Linked DNA regions of Mus musculus: regions 2 and 3 are each reported to be linked to region 1. The links are microRNA targets in miRTarBase. Many come from high-throughput screens and were not tested one by one. Region 1 holds a microRNA gene; each other region holds the end of a gene's coding sequence.

Region 1 (5,072 bases):
AAAAATATACATGATATAAAGACTACTATTTTTAACATGAAAGAGATTCACTTTTCTTTTGGGATCACATGTTGCCCAGGCCAGCTTGCAAATGTGTGTAGAAAAGTATGACCTATGGAGGTGGGTATAGGAGAATCAGCTTGAGGGACAGAGCTACACAGTAAGACAGTAAGCTCCTGTCTTCAAATGGGAGTAGTGATGGTAGTTGACAAGAAGTCACTTAGTCTACTGGTCTTCGGGCTGAAGGGATGAGGAGAGGGAACAACACAATAGGCTCCATATCCACTCTTCCTGTGAGCGAGTGACTCCTCTCCACGTAGGCCCATGTGTTTAGGCATATCTAGGGCCATGGGAGGGGGAATAGTTTGAGAAATCTCATCTATCAGACCCTGCACTGAGTCATTCATACAGAATAGAAAACAAGGAACAATAGACCTAGGTCATTCTTTTGAACAGCAGTTGGTGAGTCTATAATAGTCAAGGATCTTAGTGTGTTTATTAGTCTCCTAAGAGAGTAGCACCTCTGTTCATTTTGTTTCCTGCTACATCCTCTATGACTAACAGAGCTGTATCAAATAGTGCATACCTGAATATTTGTGAAAGGAAGGAAAAGGAACAGGGGTGTGGACATATAGGGGCTCTGTCCTTTAAAGTGCAGGCGAAGTGCCACCCTTTGGATTCCTTGGACAGGACTTACTATTGAAAACAGCACTTGTGCTGAGGATTAATGTTCCTGATGAATCAGGTCAGATAATCCTCTCTGTGGGCACAAGTCTGTGAATCCTCTCCTCTGTATACACTGCATTTATATGGGACTGTGTTAAAATATGGAAGAATCCAAGTGGACAGTGTACATGAAGTCCCAGTCTACAGTCCACTCATGCAGGCATAATGGATGTGACACAGCTCACTCTCCCTGGACCATTTGCTCCCTGAACCACATGTGGTTCATACTCCTGTGGACCAAATCCCTAGTTGAGTACCTGCCATACTGAATAAATAGACAGGAAACAGTGGAAGGAGGCGTAAAGGTCCTACATGAAGATAACTCAATGTCTGAACCCTTGCCCAGGTATATTGCATTCGCAAAGCACACTCATCCAAGTAGCAAGTACTAGAAAGGCACAGCCTGCACCTATGCCCTTGGCATGTGGGTTCAACAAGAAGGCTTACTGTTCTTGCCCTGTGCATTCCTCCAAGAGTTGAACTAAAGAAGAATTTCTCTTCCAGGTGTCGGTATGAGAACTAGAATGAAAAGCTGCGCACTTATGTCAATACACAGTTTACTATGTGCCCCACTTGTTCTTGATACCTGTTAGGGTCATAAGTGGAAATAAAGTTCTACCTATAAAATCTAGGTGGGAAGAGGCCAAATTTGTCACATTTACTCTCCCATGCACCATGCCCGTTGTATTTGTAGAAGGAAAGAAGGTGGGGGGAGGCATAAAAGAAGTATGCAAGCAGCAAACAGATGAGATATGATGCACAGACCTCCTGTCCTTCTCCATGCAGATCAGGCTCACCTTCCCCAAATCCTTGCCCGGGTGCATTGCATACAAATAGCATTTTCACCCAGGGACAAAGGATTAGAGAGGATGAGCAGAGCAGAAGGCCCAGGCACCTGTACCATGTTTGTGTGGTTCTGTATATAATATTTAATTTTCCTTGTCCTGATTCAGCCAAGCATCACCACCTATACCCAAGCTTGACATCCCTGATTTATATATGTATCTGCCCCCTTCCCACCATGAGCATCCTCTCTCAGAGAAAACTTCTACGTATACAAAATGGTATCTCTCCCAGATCATACTTGAGAATTTGTGGGGGCCTGATTTATGTTTGGAAGGTAGCAAGAAGGCTGGGATCTGAGAATGCATATACATACTGAAAGAGGGCACAGTGGAGGAGGATACTCCATTCCTTTCCAATGCCTTTATACAATTCAAGCTTTGTGGAACAGGGGTTATCACTGGATGTAACAAACGGGTTGCCTGAGTAGCAGCACCTAATGTGTGCTCCTCATCACATGATCTGACACTTAGCAAACTGGGAATCAAGAAAGCTCATGCTGAGAATAGAAGCATGTCTACCAAACATGATAAAGACCATTTTGCTGTTAGAAAATGTGTAGAACCAAGTCTGACAGCTAAAACCAAAATCAAATGGTGGCCAGGAGGAGGGAAGGTGGCAGGTGAGATGTGCAAGTATGGGCCATTCTACACGCAGACAAGGCTCAGCCTCTTTGAATCCTTGAACAGGTGTGTTGCACTGAAGCAGCATTCACACCTAGGTTCCAAGGATTCGAGAGGGGGAGCAAGCAAGAAGGCTCAGGAACCTGCCCTTCCTGTGTGTGGTCAATATGCTTGTGTGCAACACACTAAAAGAGAACGAGAGATGCGCTCTGTCCTTTACAAACACAAAGGTCTGGCTCTCAGAATCCTTGCTGAAGAACACTCTCACCCAGGTAGCAAGGATCAGAGAACTGAAGCAGGGCAAAAGGCTCACAGCAAATGAACGCATGGGCTCACCTTTGACACAAGGTGCTTATCTGTGATGAGAAAGAAGACAATGTTCTTGAGCTTCACATTAAGTATGTCTAGGCACCTGAGTTCAACTCCCAGCCTCCACATAAAAGAGCCAAGCGTGAGGACTCAAAGAAAGCTAGATCCCTTGGCCTAACTGGTGAGTGCCAAGTCCCTATTAGAGACTGTTTCAAAAAACAGGGTAGATGTCCCCAAAGGGGAAGCACCTCAGGTTGACCTCTGCACCCTCCACACACATACACAGAAAGAGAGAGAGAGAGAGAGAGAGAGAGAGAGACAGAGTGACAGACAGACACAGAGACAAAGAGAGACAGAGACAGAGAGACAGACAGACAGACAGACAGACAGAGACAGAGAAACCTGTCTAAATATATACATTCATATTTTGTTCTGAGATTATAAAAATATAAAGCCAGAGATACAAAATACTGAAAGAAAAAAAGACAGAGAGACAGAGAGAAGAGGCCATAAGCTCACAAGATGGCAGTAGAGATTGGCATCCTTTAACACACATCAGCATCTTGTTAAAGTTACTTCAGATACCTGGAGGACTTGGTACTAAGATAACTTACAGAGGTTTCTCATTAGTGAGCTCAAGATTTTGTATTTCTAAAAGGGGCTGGGTGATGCTGGGGACCTTACCAGCATCATGGATAAGACAGAGAAACTGTGGAGTTTGGTATCTACAAACCCTGTTTCAAACCTATACTTCACCATGTACTGGATTAAAGAATCTACCTGCTTTCTCCAAGGTCATGGACTACTTCTAAAAAATGAGAATAACAAATGCTATCTCTTTAAAGAGTACCAAAAAAATTAGGTAAGATGCAAGCCTAGAGTAGGATGCAGGACCTGGCCCCTGGCTATTATTTTTACCTCTTACACTACCATTTTTGTACACATGTGTCTAAATGAATGTCCTGTTTACAATAGTATGGTCATACTCATATATGCAAAAGCCAGGTGAAGGAGGCATGAATATCAGTGACTCGGAGAATCTGTAAAAGGCAATGCAAGGACTGGCTCTCTGGTAATTCTTCTTCAATGTGCCTAAATCAACGAAGTTCACACCCCTTTCTGTGAGGGATATGAAAGACAAAATCACAAGTTTCAATCTTTCACTTTCCTACTATATGTCACAGAGAGTGAAGAGAGTCAGGAGTAAGGAGAGAGGGGAGAAGTAGAGAAGGGGGGAGAGCGAATATAAATGAATGACAGTAAGGCATTTTTCTCTATGAGAAAACAAGTGTATCAAACAAAAGAAACCTTCTATGCTCACGGGCCTATATATGATGTACACCTAGCTATAGATGGGCTTCATTCATATTTGTTCTCCTATCTACCCAGCTGATGCAAAAGCATATCTATGACTGTCTAGGTATGTGTTTACAAAAATGTCAGTGTTAACAAACAAGTATACCTTCCTATAACAGCTCCGTCAAAGATGAAAACCAAGAGAGCCCACTACCCTTCCTTAGAGGTGTAAGAGAACAAGGTTAGGGGAGCAGGACTCTGTTCCTGCTAAGCTGTCAGTGGGCCTCTGCATTTGAAGGTTGCCTATGTGTGCTGAGAACGTGATGAATCAGGTTTGACACTTAGAAAGTGGAGGCTAAAGTAAGGAAGTGCATCCTGCAGCTTCTCAGGCATGTATATGTGATCGTACACAGTGAGAATGATTTTCATCCTCCTGTATGCACATGCTACAAAGACTGGACTGCCCAACTTACCACTGGCTCCACATATCAGCACACTATCATACAATCAGAACTATAGTCACATACTACATGGTGTTTGGTAAGCCACAAACTACATATACAATAGTAGTCACATAACATTTCATCACCTAGTAATCCTTATTAGTTTAACTATACACTCCCATGGTGGTTTAATAAAAATTGCCCTCACAGGTTCATATACTGGAGTGCTTGGTCCCTAGTAGGTAAAGCTGTTTTGGGAAGGATTAGAAGGTGTGGTGTGGCCTTGTTCGAGGAGTCAGCTCACTAGAGGTAGACATTAAGCTTTCAAAAACCCCAAGCCAGGCCCAAGCTTGTTTGTGTTCATGTTCTCTTTCTCTCTTCTCTCTCTCTCTCTCTCTCTCTCTCTCTCTCTCTCTCTCTCTCTCTCTCTCTCTCTCCATCAATATCTCCCCTGCCTCTGCCTCTAACTTGCAATAAGATATGAGCTCCCAGCTCTTGCCCCAGCATCATGCCTGCCTGCTTGCTGCCATGTTCCCTACCATGATGGTCATAGACTCACACTGAAATTTTAATAAGCCCCCAATTAAATTGTTTCCTTTATAAGTTGCCTTGGTTATGGTGTCTCTTCTCAGCAATAGAACAGTAACTAGGCAACTCCATAATATTCATACAACGACAAAAATAACTTAACAACCATATTTCTCAGAAATCCCCATTGTTAAGAAATACTTAGCTATAAATACACACAGGCAAACAAGAGAGCCTTCCATCTTTAAATTCTTTCTGAATCCCAGCTGCATGTAGAAAACACTAGCAGCAGGTATCACAGGGA
Region 2 (5,072 bases), not on the chromosome of region 1:
GAGTATGGGGAGGTGACTTGCTGCCTGGGGAGCTCGGCCAACCTGCGCAACAGCTGCCTCTTCCTCCAGAGTGATGTCAGGTCAGCGAGAGGCACTGGGACTGGGGGCCAAGCTCTGCTTCTCCGACCCTGGGTGGACAGCCTGCACGTAGCTAGAGGCTTGCCTTGACTCAGACCCTGGTCCCTGGGTCTGCCGGGGAAGAGGAAAGGGACGCTCCCATCTTGTGGTAGACAAGTTATAGAGTATCGCTCATGGGTGGATCTTCCCTCCACTGAGCAGCATTGCCCTGGATCCCTTATACCCATCCCGCTGCTCCTGGGAGACCTTTGGCTATGCCACCAGCACCACCATGGCCCAGGCCTCGGATGGCCTTTCTCCCCTGCAGCTATCAGGGCAGCTCAACAGCCTGCCTTGCTCCCTGACCTTCCGACAAGAAGAAAGCATCAGCATCATCCGGCTCATTGAGCAGGTGGGGCTCAGGAGGTCCTGGGGCCGCCCTGAAGGCAGAACATGAGAATTCTGGGCCCTCCAGACCTCATGCTTCCTGCCTGTGTGGCCTGCCTGGGAGGGACAAGTGAATCTCCCCAAGGCACTTGAGGCTGTCTCTGCTCCTTCCTCTTAAGAGCATCATGGGCACGTGGCTCTTAACTGAGGCTTGTTTGTTGTAGGGCCTGAGAGGGGCAGCATGCCCACATCCTAACCTGTCCCCTTGATCCTCAGGCTCGGCACGCTACCTACGGCATCCGAAAGTGCTTCCTCTTCCTGTTGCAGTGCCAGCTGACCCTCGTGGTCATTCAGGTAAGCCAGGCTCTGTACAGGCATTGGCCCTCTTCATAAGGAAGGGACAGTTAAGAGTCTGAGGAGTCTGGGGGTGCAGGATAGTCACGAGCCTCTGTGTACCCCTAGGCTTTTGAGATGATCCCACCTGTAAACATTTTCTCTTGTACCTGGTCCTCTGGGTCAAGATGTTGAGTCTCCTGAGCCAGGGCAAGGTGGGTGGCCTTGGGGGCTACAAATCTGGTGATGTTTTCTTTCCTGCTTCAGTTCCTGTCTTGTCTGGTGCAGCTGCCACCGCTCCTGAGTACCACAGACATTTTATGGCTATCCTGCTTTTGTTACCCTCTGCTCAGGTGAGAGGCCTGGAAGCCCCTCTGTGCCCTGCTAGTGAGCTTAGGTTGTCAGTGGGCGTCTCAGGGGGCCCAGGGGTTCCTGGCTGGGTGGCTCAGGGCTCACCTCTGGCGCAAGGAGGCACTGATGCAAGCAAGGGCCCCTTGGTCTGTCTCTCCTCAGTACTGGGCTTTATCTCACTGCCAAGAGTCCCTGTAGGCGTTCCTCTGAGAGCTGGGAGCCAGGTAGTAACGTCTGTCCCTTTACCCACACTTAATTTCAGCATCTCTCTATTGGGAAAACCACCACATAGCTCCATCATGTCTATGGCAACGGGCAAAAACCTTCAGTCCATTCCTAAGAAGGTAAGCCAGGCAGACCCTGCTCACCGGGGCTTCTCAGAGGGGCTGAGCATTGGGGCTGGGAGTAGCCCAACCTGGAAGGTTCTGCGGAGGTCAGCGATCTGAGAGGCGGTGGCCAACACCAAGGACGAGTCCTGCTGGGCATGTGGTCCCTGGGCCTTGACCCTCGGGGCGTGGGCACTTACCTGCTGAGGGCTTGCTAAACATTTAGAAAAGCTGAGCAGGTGCCAGGCCTGCCTCATAGCCTGCAGAGAGGCCGCCCTCCCACAGGAATGACCATCTTCCCCGTCCTCCCCATCCTCCCGTATGCCACAGACCCAGCACTACTTCCTGCTCTGCTTCCTGCTCAAGTTCAGCCTCACCATCAGCTCCTGCCTCGTCTGCTTCGGCTTCACGCTGCAGAGCTTTTGTGACAGCGCCCGGGCCCGCAACCTCACCAACTGCTCCTCAGTCATGCTTTGCAGGTGGGTCTTAGGAGTCCTGTCCTCCCCACCCCACCCAACCCCACCCTGTGGGCCCTCAGGAGGCCGAGCCTTTGCCTTCCTTTGGCAGCAATGATGACAGAGCGCCGGCCTGGTTCGAGGATTTTGCCAATGGGTTGCTATCCGCTCAGAAGCTCACAGCCGCCCTGATTGTTTTGCACACTGGTAAGGATTCTGCCTCATGGGGGCTGCTGCGAGTGGGGAGGCCTCAGGGTGGGAGGCAAGACTTTGGGAAGCCCTGACACCCCATTCGCCCATCTTTCTAGTCTTTATCTCCATCACTCATGTACACCGCACCAAGCCTCTGTGGAGAAAGAGCCCTTTGACAAACCTCTGGTGGGCCGTGACTGTGCCTGTGGTGTGAGTAGTGTTTAATGGGGGCTACAGGACAGTGCTGGGGTCACAGGTGGGGGGAAGACCAGGGGGTGGGGGGGACCTTCAACTAGTCGGACTTGGAAAGAGGGAAGAAAGCGAGGTCTCTGGGCTCACACGGGGCTGTCTCCTCCCACAGGCTGCTCGGTCAGGTGGTCCAGACAGTGGTGGACCTGCAGCTGTGGACACACAGGGACTCACGTGTCCACTTTGGCCTAGAAGATGTGCCCCTGCTCACATGGCTCCTGGGCTGCCTGTCCCTGGTCCTAGTGGTAGTCACCAACGAGATTGTAAAGTTACACGAGATTCGGTGAGCTTGTAGCTCCACTGGGCTCTGTCTGTACCCTGAACCTGTCACCTCAATGTCGGCACCCTGCTCAGTCCTCTGATTTGAAGGTCTACACCAGCCTGTTTGTTTTCCTGGTGCTGGATTGAGCCAGCTCCTGTAATACACTCCACCCCCGGCTATAGCCCTGGCAATCTTTACTTAGTAACCGAGATAGGTCCTGATCTTATAATCCTCCTGCCTCAGCCTTCAAGTAGCTAGAATCACAGGCCTGAGCCACCAGGCCAAGTTGTCAACTGTATCTCATTCTATTTCACCAGGGTCCGTGTCCGCTACCAGAAGCGCCAGAAGCTGCAGTTTGAGACCAAGCTGGGCATGAACTCGCCCTTCTGAGCCACTGGCCATGGTGGCCATAGCTGCCCAGCTTCCTGGGGACAGAGCCAGACCTACCAGGAAGTTGGTATCACAAATGTTTCAGGGTTTGTCTTTGTGCCTCATGGCATTGGAGGCTCAGCCGTGGGCACTGGAGACAATTGTCTTCCTGGCTTGGGCTTCTTTTTCACGAAAAGCCACAGGGTTGTAGCCACGGCCTGCCTGCTTCGGCTCTTCCCCGGCCTTGCCAGGGGCACTCTTGAATGTATGACCTCAGGCCCTTGGTAAAGGGATCCTCAGCCCCTCCCCCATGTGTTCCCCATCTTAGGGGCCCCCTCACTCGGCACCCTCTGCTCTTGCATCTACGGCAGCCTCAGTGTCTGTTGGAAAGCAGAGGCTACTGCTGTTCAAGATGCTGTATCCTCCTGCCCATGTCCCATCTTCCCCGGCAAGGGCCTGCCTGTGGTCCGAAGACCTTCCCTTCCTCTGGGCTTGAAGATGGAAAAGGTCCACCTCACCCTGGGGCCCCCATGTCAGCTGACCACAAGTCATCCACAGAGGACCCTGCCCAGGCCCATGTGGCCCTTGCCCTTGTTCTGGGAGACATTTTTTACTTTTTTTTTTTTTTTTTTCTTACTGGAAAATGAGCCTTTGGGGGAGTGAATGTCAACTGGTTTATATTAAAATTGTAAATTGCTTAAAAAACATCCTGTGGTGGATCCATGAAACAGCCAGGAAAGGCTCCCTCCCAGGGCTGCAGCTCTCGGCACTCTACACTGATGAGTGGCCCCCAGGACGGGGTGAAGGGATACCCCCGGACTTGGAGGTTTGCTGCACAGATGCAAACACAGCCCAGTCATGTGGAATGACTCTTTCATTGATGTTAGTTGGGGAAAGAGGTTAATAGTTACAGAGCCCAGGCTAGACCAACTGGGTCCTCCAGCAGGAAGTGGGTAGACGGTTCTTCTGTGGCCCGAAGGCCTTCCCCTACTGCATCCTCTCAGGCAGTTAATAGATAGAATAAATTCCATTTAAAATATATGCATTTCTCTCTGCTTGAAAAATATTATGTACAGTTGTAAGAGTCTGGGCCCTGGGGATCTGTTACCTCACTGCCCGATCCCAGCCAGCGCTGCCTCCCAGTGTGGGATGGCCAGGCAGGAGCAGAAAAGGCCACCGGCAGGAAGGCATGCCCCTGCTGTGTATTTACAGCTCCTATGTACACTTGCACGGAGGGGACTGGCCAACCACGCAGCCTCACAGAGCCCTAGGGTGACTCAGTGGTGGCCAGACAAATTCCCAGACCACAGGGACTTTAGACAAGGCAAGGAGGTGCATCCCCAAATCCCTGTCACCACCTCCTCCTAGAGGAGAATGTTCTACGAGGGTCCCTGTTCAGGGGCCATAGCTGTGCAGTCAGCTGCTCACGGGGAGAGCTTCGCTCCCACACAGCTGAGGCCCCTCAGTCAGGTTCTGACAAGTCCTCTCGGCCTGTCTGTGACTGCCAGCCACTGCTTGAAGCCATTGGAGGCCTCTGCTACGGAAGGATTCTCCAGCCCAACCAGACCTCTGCCTGTTCCCTGTGTGGCACGGGCTTCTTCCACGCTGGGCCGAGGGCGGTGAACACTGGCAGGTGGGAGAGTCACAGGCCAAGGTTTGCTCAGTCCAGCATAGCATCCAGCTGGTCCGCCAGGGCATCGAACATAGTGCTAATGTCATCCAGAATGTGCTTGGTAGACGTCCCTGTGGGGCTACAGCAAGGGAAAACCTTGATGAGATGGGCCAGTGGGTCTGCAGCCAAACACTGTGTACCTCAGGGCTTACTGCTTACAACCTCCCATCGATGAGCTCAGAGGCTCGGGGACAAGGAGTTACCCAAATCAGCGTGCCTGTAAAGTGACAGTCACCAGTGATCTCTGTAGGCCACTCTAAAACCTAGGACCCACTGAGGCCTCTGTAGCCCAAGATGTTGCATGCAGTGGCTCCTTCCGGTGCTCCTGGGCACAGCCCCCTACCCCACCCACCCTGCTCACCCGTCTCGTTCCTCGGTGCCAATGCTCTTCTCAGCTGCCCTCAGTGCGGCTTCCAAGG
Region 3 (5,072 bases), not on the chromosome of region 1:
AACTCCACTGTCGTGTCGTGGTTTGCGCCGCCCCAAGACCAGTGCACTAACATGAAACCTAACTCAACTCTGAACGTAGTTCACCCAACAAACTCTTTTCTGCCATAGAAGATATCTTGCTATTATTCTTTGCTGTTTCCCAAATCTTTATCCTATTTAATGGGTAGAAAGTAAATTATTAAATACTATGTTTATATATATATATATATATTTTTTTTTTTTTTTTAAAAGCAAACTGAAAACTTCTGAGGACCAGGTGAGAATAGAGAAAAGAACACTGAGTCTTCTGTTAGAGTAAAAACTAAATGTGAAGTGCCTTGATGTCAGAGAAGTGTGGACCTGGTATTCAGGAAAGACAGCTCCAATCTGTAGAAGTTGGTGCTGTCTTGGACCAGGATGGAGAAGAGATGGTAATTCTATAAACTAATTACAGAGAAGCTGTCGGACCACCCAGGGCACTTTGTCCTAGCTTCGTGCTTATTTGGGAAGTCCAAGTCACACTACCACAGACTAGTTATGGCTCCGCTGACCTACAAATCTCATCAGCTACAACCAATGGGGATCGTTAACGGTTGGGGTTCAGGTGCTTTGTGGGTATGTTTAGCAATTTCTTCCACCTTATGTTAGGAAACAGGCTGACTGCTCTTTGAAACCATTAACCCTCCGTGTTGTTATGAAGTCTCGTTATGCTGTCATTACCTTGAAAGTGCTGACGCATGCTGTGGCATGTTGGGGAGCTGCTCTGTGCAGTCAAAGCCAAGGTCATCTGTGTCTGAGGATGCGACACGGCCTGGTGCTCTCACCCATTTCTCCTTCCTAATCCAGCCTCCAGGAATCAGTGTGGGAAACTGCTTTCAAACTCTTCCACTGCAAACACGTAACATGTGCTCTCCTCCAGCAGGGAGAAGGCTATAAGGTGAAGACGAAGAAGGAAATCCGGAACGTGGAGAAGAAAACCCACTAGTGACAGTGACGTCAGTCCAGGTGGGAAGTACACTTACGTCAGCAGCTAGACTTAAAAATCTTGAGAATTTTCTGGGTTCTCGGAATAAGTATATTCCTATATTCCCTTTCTCCTTCTTTCCTGAAATCTCACTGGAAGATGAAATGAAATAAATCTTGTTTTTATTTCTTTACATGAATGCAGATGTATATATGTATATATGTAAGTGTGTATATCTATGCATGTGTATGTATGTATCTACATACATGCATATGCACATTGAACTTTAACTCAAGTTGGGTCTATAAACATTCTCCATGTTTATGGCTTCTGCAGAAGCACATGCAAGCATGACTTGAGTCTGCTACTCTCTCACCATGAGGCTCCCTGGTATGTACAGTCATTGTGGAAAGACAACAGATCTGATGGCCTGTGCCCAAGTTTGAGTGTCGAGTTCAAGGGCAGCCAAAGTTATACAGAGAAACCCTGTTTGGGGGTGGAGGGTGGAGGTCTCCACATCTAAGTTAAATTGGAATTCCATACACCTTTTTATGTAAGCATAGACACAATTAGGAGTCCAATCACACAGGCTTTCTAGAAGTTAAATGCTTATTAAGTACGCTGTTTACATGTGTGTGGACTCTTGCTCTTGTTTTTCTGGATTTCACATTAGTGCCTTTTTGATACAGATATGATCAGAAAGCTAATCTGGGGTGAGGACACAGCTTTGGGAAGTTGTATCTTCAGGGCCTCTCCTCTCTGTCCTTTCAGTCTCTGGGTCAAAGTGACAGAGAGTAGGAATTCTAGTCTCATTTTCTCACCTGTCCTCCCTGCCACCAAAAACTCCCTGATCCTCCATTACAGGGATAAGGGGTTGAGAAATAACCTCATTTTAGGTACCTACGGCTTAGGTTTTATTTCATTGTTTTGAAACGTGACCTGCGGGAGCCCAGGCTGGACTTCGGCTTCCTTTGTGCCTGAGGATGTCCCCGAACTCTTGATCCACTTGCCCTTCCCCCGTGCTAGCATTCCAGGTCAGTACCACACCATGCACAGTTATGCAGTCTCGAGGATCAAATGCAGTCTTGGAGACCAAACCGGGGGCTTCATGAATCTTTACCGTCTGAGCTGCATCTCCACCCTCCCAGGAAGATCCTTAGTTATCCCTGACAGATAACCTTTCCTTTGCATCCTGTGAGGCTTGCTTTCCGTAGAAACAGCAATCGCAGGATGCCTGCTGCACTAGACTCATGTTTGTGTTCACCACAGATGCCCTGGAAACAGAATTTACCATGTGGACTCCAGAGTCTTTCTTTGTGGCTAATTCTCTTGGATTGGCACCCTTAGTGTCCCCGGCTAACTTAAGCAGCGGGTCCTAAAAGGTTAAGAAAATTACCCACAGTCTCATAAAAGCAGCAGAACTAGGAAATAAGTCCTAACTGACTCCCTCCCGAATGCTCCTCCTCAGACTCACTGCAGACCTGACCTGGCGGGTCGCCCCAAGTCAACAGGAAGCAAATAGAGAAAGACCATCATCTCGGTCTCCGAGGTTGGGGTGGATGGGTTCAGTCACTTTATGAATTATAGATATGTTGTCATTTTAAGGGATAATTCACAAATAATTATAGTTTTGGCCAGGGAGGAAACTAAATAGAGAGCTCAGACTCAAGGATTTCTGTCTTTCTTTCCTCTCCTCTGTCCTTCTTTCTTAGGTAAAGGGAAGGGGGTTAAAAAGAGAAAATGGGAATAGAGTAATATTATAAGAAATTAGACAAACAGGGATAGATTATTACATTTATTCCTAAAGCATCTTATAGCCATAATCTTTGTATATTGATACAAAATTTAAAATTAGTTGTGCTACTCTTAGATAGAAGTTGTGCCTATACAACTCATTGGGGAATACAAGGCTCAGACCCAGGCCTTTCGATAGCTGCTATTACAAACTGTTTAGAATTAAGTAATGTAAGTTCATGGTCAGATAGTCAAACGCACGGTCATATTAGATTCTCATTTAGTTAATTACAATAAAATGTTTTCAAGGTTATTCAGACAGTAAATAGCTAAAAATAGTCAATGTTTAACAATTCCTTTAGGGGGCTGGAAAGATGGCTCAGCAGTTAAGAGCACTGACTACTCTGCCAAAGGTCCTGAGTTCAATTCCCAGCAACCACATGGTGGCTCACAGCTATCTGTAATGGGATCCGATGCCCTTTTCTGGTGTGTCTAAGGACAGAGGCAGTGTACTCATATAAATAAAAATAAATAAATCTTTAAAAAATGTAAACAATTCCATTAGGCTATATATAGATAGATGGTCTTCAAAATGAACTCCAAGTTACTCACCTGTGGGGATTTGATCTTCACTCTCTAAAACCCACAGGAGGTGACTTAATGTGCTAGGTAAAAGCGTCACCACTGAGCTAACCCGCACAGCCCAAGGCCTTTGGGGATACGCGCTAAACCTCAAAGTAGCCTAACCGCTAAGTACTAGCGTTACAGGCTGAGTGGTAGAGTACTTACCCAGCATGCACAAGGCTCTGCCTGGGTTCAGGCCCCAGCAGCAAATGCATCTCTTCACATACCTGTCCCCCACAAACTGGGAAATGCATGCGGGTAATTCTAGCTCTTTAGCCGCTGAGGCTGGACTATTGCAAGGTTTAGAGGACTCAGTTACCTATCCATCATTCCCAGTGGCAGTCTTTCTGGGCCTGGAGATCTCCGTGTGGCCATTGGGGACATAGAGGTGAATCGATAGGGGTGCCAGGTAGCTTACCAGCTCTATGGGTTTGGCCAAGTTATCCAGCTTGCATGTTGCCACTTCCTCAGAGGGAACAGTGAAGGAGCTTGGAACGACCCCTGGTTGAACAACAATAACCCTCTGTAGAAAGATAGTAGTAACATGCCTCCAACTTGTTTCAGAACTCACTCAGTTTTTCCACATAAATTGCTTAATAACAGTAGTTGCTAAGCCTGTAGGAACCCTCAATTGGGAGGCTCTATTATAAAAGTATTAGAAGAAGCAAGAAGGAAACAAGTGTAGCAGCTGGCCAAGCTCAGGCACAGCAGTGGCAGCAGGGGGAGATCTCAGCTTAGCCATCCATCCCTGCTTCAGGCGAGGGTGGTTTGCTACAGTCACTATCAATGGGTCTCATGGTAAACTGAGGCAGTCAGCAGACCAGGTTTCTACTCCTTTTCTTTACCAAGAAATGAAGCCCAAAGAGACCCAGACAAAGCCAGAGGAGGTAGTGACCATTCCTCTCCCCTTCAGAGCCTGAGGTAGTTCATCCCACTTGGGGCCTCTCTGGGACATTTTCCCAGAATGTATCTGAGATACAGATAACTTGCCATCTGTTTTCCGGATACAGGATGGAGACAGAATTGAAGCCAGGTATTTTGGCTCTTGCCATTTTAATTCTCTGTGTAGTAGGGACTTAATACTACCCTGTTATTAGGATTGAGGTAATTCACTTCACAGCAGTGCCAGATATATAATAAACGCTTAATAAAGAAAAATGAAGCAAATGCATTTTAAAATATGCATTCATCTGCTTCCAGTATGTCACTTAACCCCCTTGCTGGGAAAGAGCAAAGTTGAAAAGGCCTCATTTATTGGTACTAGCTGAAGAGGAAAACTGTTGTGAGATGGGTATTAGGCCATTAAGTTTTCAGCCAAGTGTGCACTGGTGCACGTCTCTAATCATAGCACTTTGGAGACGGAGGCAAGAAGATCCAGAATTCAAGGCAAGAATGAGACTCAGTCTCCAAAAAGAGAGAAAGGAAAGAAGGAAGGAAGGAGGGAGGGTGGAAGGGAGGGAGGGAGGGAATAAGGAAGGAGAGAGAAAAAAAGACAAGAAAAGAAAAACCGAAAACTAAAATTAAAGGAAAAGTAAACCTTAATTTTTGATTATAGTTTCATTTTGTAATGAAAATTACTGCTTTTTAAAAAGAAATAGGGCCAGGAAGATGGCTCCACAGGTGACTGTGCTTGCCACCAAGCCTAATGTAGTGGTTTGAATGAGAATGGCCCTGTAGGCCCATATTTGAATACTTGGCTCCACAGTTGATTGAACTGTTTGGGAAGGACTAGGAGGTGTGGCCTTATTGGAGGAAGTATGTCAGTGGGGGT

Evidence for each region. Region 1 holds the annotated microRNA mmu-miR-362-5p (AAUCCUUGGAACCUAGGUGUGAAU, at 2,279-2,302, opposite strand). A microRNA usually pairs through its seed, bases 2 to 8, with sites in the 3' UTR of a target mRNA and lowers its output. Matches are read on the target gene's strand: a 7mer-m8 pairs with bases 2 to 8, a 7mer-A1 pairs with bases 2 to 7 and ends in A, and an 8mer does both.
Region 2: miRTarBase lists Caskin2 as a target of mmu-miR-362-5p. The part of its 3' UTR that is shown has no 7-base or 8-base seed match.
Region 3: the mRNA of Ank3 is a reported target of mmu-miR-362-5p. The part of its 3' UTR that is shown has no 7-base or 8-base seed match.

Annotation. Positions count from the first base shown.
Region 1 is chrX:7,239,741-7,244,812 of GRCm38, forward strand. Mir362 (microRNA 362) reads right to left here and starts at 2,306; the gene lies at 2,242-2,306. The region is part of intron 2 of Clcn5 (chloride channel, voltage-sensitive 5); the gene reads right to left. It overlaps Mir501 (microRNA 501), which reads right to left and starts at 1,611; the gene lies at 1,503-1,611.
Region 2 is chr11:115,795,346-115,800,417 of GRCm38, forward strand. It overlaps Caskin2 (CASK-interacting protein 2), which reads right to left. Exons shown (of 20, transcript NM_080643.2): 19 at 5,015-5,072; 20 at 4,007-4,732. The coding sequence ends at 4,642. Tmem94 (transmembrane protein 94) reads left to right here. Exons shown (of 32, transcript NM_028014.3): 23 at 1-80; 24 at 280-469; 25 at 721-798; 26 at 1,045-1,130; 27 at 1,391-1,472; 28 at 1,785-1,933; 29 at 2,022-2,116; 30 at 2,218-2,311; 31 at 2,463-2,633; 32 at 2,930-3,688. The coding sequence ends at 3,002. Mir5621 (microRNA 5621) reads left to right here and starts at 479; the gene lies at 479-541.
Region 3 is chr10:70,014,670-70,019,741 of GRCm38, forward strand. Ank3 (ankyrin 3, epithelial) reads left to right here. Exons shown (of 43, transcript NM_146005.3): 42 at 899-984. The coding sequence ends at 964. Among named protein-coding and RNA genes, the nearest start is that of Ccdc6, 80 kb to the right of the region's middle.